Linked DNA regions of Oryzias latipes. The protein of the gene in region 2 purifies or fractionates together with the protein of the main gene of each other region. This does not show direct contact. Links are inferred from orthologs where the notes say so. Each region holds a gene or a part of one and is shown on either strand. Other genes may lie near its edges.

What was found.
Region 1: the proteins of orc5 (region 2) and lrwd1 purify together in Homo sapiens (affinity purification with mass spectrometry; 4 studies listed by BioGRID and IntAct, with this or other methods). This does not show direct contact. The link is inferred for Oryzias latipes from reciprocal best matches to the Homo sapiens genes ORC5 and LRWD1.

Annotation. Positions count from the first base shown.
Region 1 is NC_019872.2:25,209,602-25,214,135, reverse strand, and holds the start of lrwd1 (leucine-rich repeat and WD repeat-containing protein 1), read right to left. Parts: upstream 3,103-4,534; 5' UTR 3,066-3,102; intron 2,846-3,065; exon of another isoform or gene 2,767-2,845; intron 1,605-2,766; 5' UTR 1,598-1,604; coding exon 1,518-1,597; intron 1,082-1,517; coding exon 847-1,081; intron 661-846; coding exon 541-660; intron 1-540. Other genes in the region: alkbh4 (alpha-ketoglutarate-dependent dioxygenase alkB homolog 4), read left to right, coding at 3,103-3,213, 3,855-4,043, 4,170-4,534. UniProt on the Homo sapiens protein: Required for G1/S transition. Recruits and stabilizes the origin recognition complex (ORC) onto chromatin during G1 to establish pre-replication complex (preRC) and to heterochromatic sites in post-replicated cells.
Region 2 is NC_019881.2:17,806,197-17,810,618, forward strand, and holds the start of orc5 (origin recognition complex subunit 5), read right to left. Parts: upstream 3,004-4,422; 5' UTR 2,722-3,003; coding exon 2,608-2,721; intron 756-2,607; coding exon 663-755; intron 158-662; coding exon 1-157. Other genes in the region: LHFPL tetraspan subfamily member 3 protein, read left to right, coding at 4,111-4,422. UniProt on the Homo sapiens protein: Component of the origin recognition complex (ORC) that binds origins of replication. DNA-binding is ATP-dependent. The specific DNA sequences that define origins of replication have not been identified yet.

The DNA.
Region 1 (4,534 bases), on a different chromosome or scaffold from region 2:
TCCAAAATCCAAAAATCTGTGTAGCAGGTGCTCATTCTCTGAGTTGTGGGTGGGACTGTTAGCACGGAGTGACTCCGCGCCTTCCCATTGGTGAGAGCTCTCTGTTAACATGCTCTCCGTCTAGCTCACAGCCCCTCACACCCCCAACCTGACGTTAACGGTGCAACAAAAAATGGCGCACGATATTGGAGCTATCCAGCCGTACAGCTTTGATCCAGATTCCAGCTCAGACAGGAAAATAAAGATGTACATGGATCTATTTGACTGCAAGTTGATGAATCAGAATGGAGCAGAGCAGGCAGCCTGCCAACTCTAGCCTCTACAAAACAAATATGACGTTTTCTAAATGGCATTTTTTTTGTCTGCTCCTGATTCACAACAATTTAAATAAAGAAATACTCAGAAATTCTATTTTGAACTTCATTTTCTTAACATATGTACTCCGTCATAACAAAAAAAATGACACAAGATCGAGTTTAAAAACACCAAAAACACAAATTTTAACTGAAGTTAAGTCTTTCAAAAAAGGCAGTTTCTTACCCTGGTCCTCAGGTTGTCGCTGTAGACGAATCGTAAATGATTGGCGGTTGTGCTGACGTCTTTGCCATTGAAAATCCTCAAGTTAGGCAGCAACACCATCAGCTTATAATTATCACTCACCTGCAACATAGATAACATTCAACTTCATGTCTATAAAACAAAAAGAGTGGAATTAAATACCTTTACTTTGTTAATTGCTTTAAATCCTTTTTTTAATATAATTTATGTGCCTGTGTGACATTACTGCCATTTGTTGTTCTGTGTGAAACCTTCTCTGTAAAACAGCAGAGGGGGAACAGCACTCACTGTGATGTAGAGGTTGTCATCCATCTTAAGCTCTTCCAAAGTGCTCAGAGACTCCAAGGTGGTGACATCTTCCATCTGGTTGTCGCTGAGGTCCAGGAAGAAAAGCACAGGAAGCTTCAGGTTCTTGGGGAACTTCTGCAGTCTGTTTCCAGACAGGTCCAGCCTCTCCAGAGACTGCAGACGGGACAGGAGCTTAACAGGCAGGTCCTGAAGCTGAAGACCCAGCTTAGACAGACTAAAGAACAGAGCAAAGTCAGTTCCTTACACCATACAATGTTAAATACAATGCTGTCCTCGGTTTTTTTTTTTTTTTTAAATCCTGCAATTAAAAACAATTCTATTGTAATTATGATGGCTCTACACCAGGGGTGCCCAAATCCAGGCCTCGAAGGCCGGTGTCCCGGTGTTTTCCAACCATCCTGCCATTGACGTTCCTTATTGGCTGAACATACCGGTACACGAATCAGGTAATCGACAGCAGATGAGGCAGGGTTTCTTGAAAACTAGCCTGGATTTGGACACCCCTGCTCTACACAGAATGGTTTTATTCCTAAAGAGTTTTAAATACATTCTTTGCTGCATGTCCAAGTAACTATCAGTAGTTTACTACCAAGCAAAACAAAAACACAACTACAACAGTGTAGTTGTACAAGAGCTGCACGTGTTCCTACTTTAGTGTCTTGACTTGCTCCAGTTTGTTGGTTTTTGGGGTTCCTTTCTCCAGTAAAAGTTTCTCTGTTATCTTCTCCATTGTTCGACTGCAGATACAATTCAGGAAAGGATTGACTGAATGAATGACAATACACTTTAGTTTAATCTGCACAACCAGTTAAAACAACAGAATTGAAACATATAAAGACCGAGAAACTAAGTTTCTCAAAATAGACATGACCTGATCCTGCCCAACAGTAAGAAAACACTTAGAAGGTAAACTTATGTTATAGCTGCATCTTCTGTGATGTGTCATATTGACTAAATAACGTCCTTATACTACCTCTGCAATCACTTGCAGTGGGGTGTAATGTGCTTCTTTGTTCTGCTTTGATTCAACAAATTAAATGTTAGGTTTGTAAATCTAGGTGAATGTTGTCTTACTACTTTATTTACATTTTCTGCCAAATGATGGGTCCCTCAGAGGTTTGGTTGGGTGATAATCTATAAAATTAACTAAATTAAAGTGAACACAAAGCTTATTTGAACACCACAGCCAAAAAGAGATGATGTGTTGCCACTCAAACATGTTTTAAACTAACAAAACAAAAGGTTAAAGACGTTTTATAAGTAAATTGAGCAAAACTATTTTAGCAAATCATTTTTTCCCACCTTTATTCATAAATTGACAAACATACATTAAAGCGGTAAGCACAAAACAAGAACAAAACGAGCAAAAGGGAATTAGGCACATTTTTTTTATAATAATAATAAATTTTATTTAGAATGCGCTTTATATTTTGGGTAAAATCTCAAAGCGCTACAATGAAGGCAGGATTTACAATGGTTTAAGATAAGAACAAAGTAAGACAAAAAAACAACAACAATAAAAGTACTAAAAAGCATTATTTTATTAAGATATACTTCACAATCATCATGAATAGCTTTGAGTTTAGAACTTTTGGAAATTTCGATGCATTATTTAATTATAACAAGGAAAAGTGACTGTGCAAAACGTTACATTAAGGATTGTATTTTTAGCTAAACTTATGTGATACTAAATAATGTACGTAATCTTAGTTACAAAAGATATTTTAGCCACGTTGACGGTCAAGTTGACGTTGTTGTTTGGACGCATTTTCTGGGTTTTAAAATATTTGAAGTAAATCTAACGAAAGATCGATTAAAACATTGTTGAATCTACGAATATACTCAGTTCATTAATTTGCAATTACAAGCTCGTAAAATTTGGACATAAAAAAAACTCACCAACCAAGGATACACGAACACAAACGCGACACTAAAAATTTCGCGGGGAAAATGTCTACTTCCGGGGGAAAATGTTTATATCCGGTGTGTGCTGTTTTATATACCCTGAGCTTTGACTCATAGGCAAAATAGCTTCAAAGTGAATTTGATTGTGGATAATGATAATAAAGTTAGTGAAATATGAATGTACTTATTTTGTGTGCTGCTAAAAAATTAAATGTTTACAGATAAGGTTTCTAAATCTAACTATTTTATAATTATATCCTGCGCCTCTACCTTTCAACCATACAAGCATATACCTTTAACCCACAAGACGTTAGTTCCGGTTGGCTCAGAATGATGGCTCCGGACGGCAGCGACGGTGTTTCTCAATGCGGATGTAAAGGGATCCGGCTGTGTCTTTTGTGCGAAAATCGCAAAGAAAAAGAGGGGACAAAAGATCCAAAGGTATCTGTATTTAACTAAAACTAACAATTAATTGTATTTGAACCCCCTGCATTTACCTGTTTGCGCTTCTTTCAAATGTACGGAGGTCCTCGCTGGACAAAATACATGATCTCAAAGCATCAATATGCTAGGTGAATACTTTATTTACCATGAAATTTTTAAGTTACAATTTGTTTGCTTTTGTCAGTCGTTCCGATTCATACCAATATTTTTCCCACTTGTGTGACTAAACAACAAAAAGCTAAAACAGTTATTCACGATTTCTTACGAACTTATACGAAGAAGAGTGTAGAATAACCTGACTAGTTTCTCACATTAACTTAAGTTGTTGTTTTTTTTTTAAGACTTTATTTTTTGTTGTTGAGTGTTTCTTGTTAATAATCCACAAACCTAAAACAGAATAACTTTAAACATAACAGCACATAGAACAATACACTTCACTTTGGGCGATCTAAAAAAAACACCACATTTTTAATATTTTTGTTTAAAAGCAAAATGTAATTTTCTAACATATTTGCTAAAAGAAAGAGCACATTATCTGAAGTATGTGAATGAAACTGCCTCAGTTTCCTACAAAGAGGCTAAAAGTGAAGTAATAATTTATATAAATAGACATTTGTTTACTGTTGTCTTTTTTTTAGGCGGCGCATCATTTCATCTACAATCCTGAGACAAAGCTTGCTGTCTGCAAAGATGCAGGGAGTGCATCCTTCTCGTTTCCTGGTATCTTCCTATGGGACGACTTTATATCTGAAGAGGAAGAGAAGCAGCTGATTAACTCAATGGACCAGGATGCCTGGAACCCATCCCAGTCTGGTCGAAGGAAACAGGTAATGCTCTCCCAGTCAGATTAAAAAGGTTTACATTTTTTCTTCTGAAAAGACATGATGAGAGATTTACATTGAAATTAAGTACATTGATTTATAATTTAACCATTTTTCTCATTTTGGTTGCAGGATTTTGGTCCAAAGGTGAACTTTAAAAAAAGAAAAGTGCGTGTGGGTGGCTTCAGTGGACTCCCTAGTTTGAGCAAAGAACTCGTACTACGGATGCAGCAAGAGCCATGCCTGTCTGGCTTTCAGCCAGTGGAGCAGTGCAACCTGGACTACAACCCTCAGAGGGGCTCAGCCATAGACCCGCACTTTGATGACTCCTGGCTTTGGGGGGAGCGACTCGTCACCATCAACATGCTATCAGACACCACACTCACCATGTCGCTTGAGCAGGGTCTGCCAGAGCTGGGACTGTCAGAGGAAATTCATGTGGCCGTTCGCCTTCCACGCAGATGTTTAGTCGTGGTTTACGGCGAAGCGAGGCATCG
Region 2 (4,422 bases):
CAGGCGACTGCTGGCGGTAAATGCGCACAAAGTCTGTCAGGGAGGGGCTGCGAGGGAGCAGCGAGGCCACGTCGCACCCGAAGAAGGACCGCAAGACTTGCTCAAACAGCAGCGCGACAGAAACGCATTCGACACAGCTGAGCGTGGCGTGAGGAAGCTGCAGGAAGAGGAGGTGTAAGAAGGAAACTGAGAACTCTGGAGGATGCACAAAAAAAAAAAACATCACATGGCACAAAAATCCCAGCTGCTACTTTTTAAAAACCCAACAACATACTGCCCAAACAAAGACAACACTTTAGAGGGTGGATTTTATCTTTTGCAGATTAAATGTAAATGATAAATAATCCTTTGGTTTTAGCAAAAACACATCTTTTTCACGTTTTACTTTTGTAACCCACAAATGTAATTGACATCACCAGAATCCACTTATTTACTTGAAAAAAGCGCAATGTTTAATTAACTAAACACTCTTTCAGTGTTTATTGAAAGAAACCCCGTGTTCTCTTGTTGTTGTCATTCCTTCATTATCCTTTCAACTTCGAAAAAGATGAAACCCTAAGGAGAAAAAGCTTTCAGAATCCATCTTTTCTTTGACGCTGTCAAAAGACAACACTGAGAAACCACATCTAAACCAAAACAACCACGGATTTAACAGACATCACCTCCAGCTCCTTCATCAGAACATTTATTACATGGCTTTTTCCTGAAGCCCGATGACCGTAGATGAAGATTGAGGGGTAGCAGTACTGGTGTGGCTGTCAAGAGAAAAATAACACGAATGTTACTGTCAATAATATTAGATCATTGCACCAGTACTAGGTAAAAACAACATAATACATTGAAAAATGCTCTAAATACTATATTAGTCATCACCTAAATGCCCAAGAATAAAAGGGTTACTTTATTTTATTTGAAGCGCTTATCAAGACGCTCAAGATGATTGTAAGGCAGCTTAAAATAGTATAAAAACAAGATCATTACATACAAAATATACATATTTGAGTAACACTTAGAGAAATATCATATTTCAGTACAGTGTCCATTATTTAATGAAATTATTAGCCTAATGTGACTCCATATTTTTAAAGTCCATCTCACCTGTTTCACCAAATTTCCCTTTTTATTTTTAGTTCTTGTATTTATTTTAAATACCCGTATTTTCCGGACTATAAGTCGCACTTTTTTTCATAGTTTGGCAAGGGGTGCGACTTATACTCCGCAGCGACTTATATTAGAAATAAATTGAAATAAATACATTGTTAACCCTCCTGTTATGTTCATTTGTGAGGAACAGAGATGATGTTCCTGGGTCAATTTGATGTATGAGGTAAGTGTTAAGTGTAAGTGTTAAGTGTTAAGAGTATGTTCAGTGACTCAGAGAATCAGCAAACTTTTTTTTACAGTTAGATCTTGAAGGCTAACAACATAATATTCTATTTTCCAAAGATTTCATAGATTCAGAAATGCAATAAAAGTGAAAACTGTTTCTACAAATACAGGATGAAAACAGAGTATTAGTTAGCCAATGATGCTTCATGAAAGGAATAAATAAATAAGTTTGAGAAAAAATTACTGTGAAATTATTAGATAAACAGTCTGCTATGATTGTGTCATATAAGGTTGTGAAAGTTAAAATGCGACTTATAGTCCAGTGCGACTTATCTGTGTTTTTTTCTACTTTATAATGCATTTTTGGGCTGGTGCGACTTATACTCCGGAAAATACGGTAGTCTGTAATTGTGCAAGGTGTGTCTCTATATTTTAAGTAAGAATTTAAAAATAGCAAGAACAATACGACTACGTTTCTGTCCAAAGTCTCTTTAATCTATCTCGTCTCACAAAGACTAAATTCCTATTCATGAACACACTTTTAAATAATAATAATAATAATAATAAAAATTACAACCTACTATATTCATCTTTTGATTTATTTACAAAGTGTTCCCAGTGGTCTTTTAATTATGATGATGCCCTTTTTTAGCTAAAATCAAAAACCCTCTGACATTTTCTAAGACATAGTTTCTGCAGAGCGGCAGTAATTCATTATAAATTCACGTCTGATTGTGGGAAAGACTGTTGGCACAGAGTAACCCTGCCCACAGCTCTGTTTACACTCTCCCACTATCTTTCTCAAACACCCAAACTAACATTACTGGTGCAACAAAAAGGGTGAGCAATATTGGAGCTATATCCAGCCGTACATTTGGGCGCCAGACACTAGTTTGGGCGAAGAAAACAAAGACATACATGGATCTATTTGTTTACAAGTGCATCAGAATGGAGCTGAGCAGGGAGCTTGTGTGTTTTCTACATCACAAATATACGATCTTTTTCAAACAGAGCCTTTTCGTCTGGTCCTGGATCACAATTTTAATAAAGAAATACTTTTAGAACATTGGAAAAATGCCACAAGTACATGTTACAAACAATTTTTAATGAATCAGAGTGGGTATTAAAGCAACTCCGACTGGTGTTTTAACACGAGAATGAGAATTTATGAAAAACTTTATTATTATTATTTTATAAATACATTGACTAATAATTACACTGTTTTGCTTTGGGAATTTTGTTATCAGGTGGACCTTCCTTGAGTTAACGGCCCCATACCTCTCCCATAAGGGACAGCAACATCCCAGCCTGAACTTCTCTGCAGGGCAGCTGCTCTGCGGCTCTCTTCAGCCTCTCCTCGTCGTATCCAGGATGCTCTAACAGTCCCGCCATTCTGCTTTTCTTGGTTCTAACTTTATAGTTGAAGCCACGAGGAGCTAAACTAATAAACAAACCAAAACATTAGCTTAACTTTCACGAAAATAAAGATGACGGTCGCCAGCGTTAGCGGCAAAAAAGTGAACTTGACGTCGTTAAGTCGAAGAAAGCGCGTGATACAAAACTTTAAAACACTCCTCAAAAACTACGTTTTTATCGAGGAAAAACGAGCAAATGTACTTGAAACCGGCTGCGATCACTTTGCGCGCCGTTGGATTACGTCATAAACTCCGCCTCCGTATGATCCAATCAGAAAAGTATTGTGGAACTCTGGGTAATGTAGTAAAAATCCGAAACATAAAATAAAAAACAACTTTAGACATCTTTTAAATCAAAAAGTATTTTAAAAAAAGAAACGAAATAAATAATTATACTTTATTTCATATATATCTCATAATTATGATGTGTAATTTTAAAAACGTTGGAGAGTATGCATCTAGTATGAGCTGTTAAGAATGATTTTTTTTTTATTAAAACGAGTAATTATACATATTTTGGCTAATCTGTATTGTAAATAACCTTCCTGATTTACCCATTACCCAATAAAACTTATTTTATTGTCTCTAACCTTTCACCTTTTTAGGATTATTTGTGTGTTTGTTTTAAGAAATATGATAATTAAATTTAACCAAACTAAACTAATTAGGAATACCTAACATTTATATTTTGAAAATAGACTACAATTCAGAAATTTTGTAAACGAACCTATTTAAAATTGTATATGTAGGAAGAGCGCATCCTTGTTTTTTTATGAACTTGTATTTATGCTGATCGTATCAGTCATGCGCACTGGATTGACGAGCAGAAAAATCAAAAGCATTTAGTCTTCGCATTTGCTTTCATATCAATGTGTCTGTTCGGGATTTACGCGCGTTACCGGAATAATGCGTCAGAATGGGATTAAGGGATGTGAGTTGCCTGTGTAATATCCGCAACTATCTTCCGACTCTAATTCAATAGGATCTCATCCGCGGCTGCTGCTCCGTCGAGAGCACACAGACCATTTCAGCCACATCTCAGCCACTCGTGGCAGCTGGAGCGGTGTTATCGTCTCAGGCAGAAACACCAGGAGGAGACATCAGGGGAGCGGGCAGAGGAAGCCTTCTGCAGAGAGGATTTCTCAAGCATTTCAATAGATTGTCTTTCTTTTTCTCCCGTAGATTGATGAAGGAGGAAAGCGCAAAGAGGGCTCAAGTCAAGGATGCGAGCGCGCATTGAAGACGCGTAAAGCATCCACGTAAAACAGGAAAATTAGCTAGTTCTGATGAAGATTACTACCTGACGAGGAAGAGGTTTGTTTACTGAGTGCAAATCTTAAGTCTCTTACCTCACATACACCGGAGGATGGTCCCCGGGGCCCCCAGCGCGACCACCACCATGCTTCCCGCCTCGGAGGCTGCCAAGATCTACCAAACCAACTACGTGCGTAATTCCCGGGCCATCGGCGTCCTCTGGGCGATATTCACCATCCTCTTCGCCATCGTCAACGTGGTGTGCTTCATCCAGCCGTACTGGATCGGGGACGGCGCAGACACGCCTCAGGCGGGCTACTTTGGTCTGTTCCACTACTGCATCGGGAACGGACTGTCCCGGGACCTGACCTGTCAGGGAAGCTTCACGGAGTTCAGCAGCATCCCCTCCGGAGCGTTCAAAGCC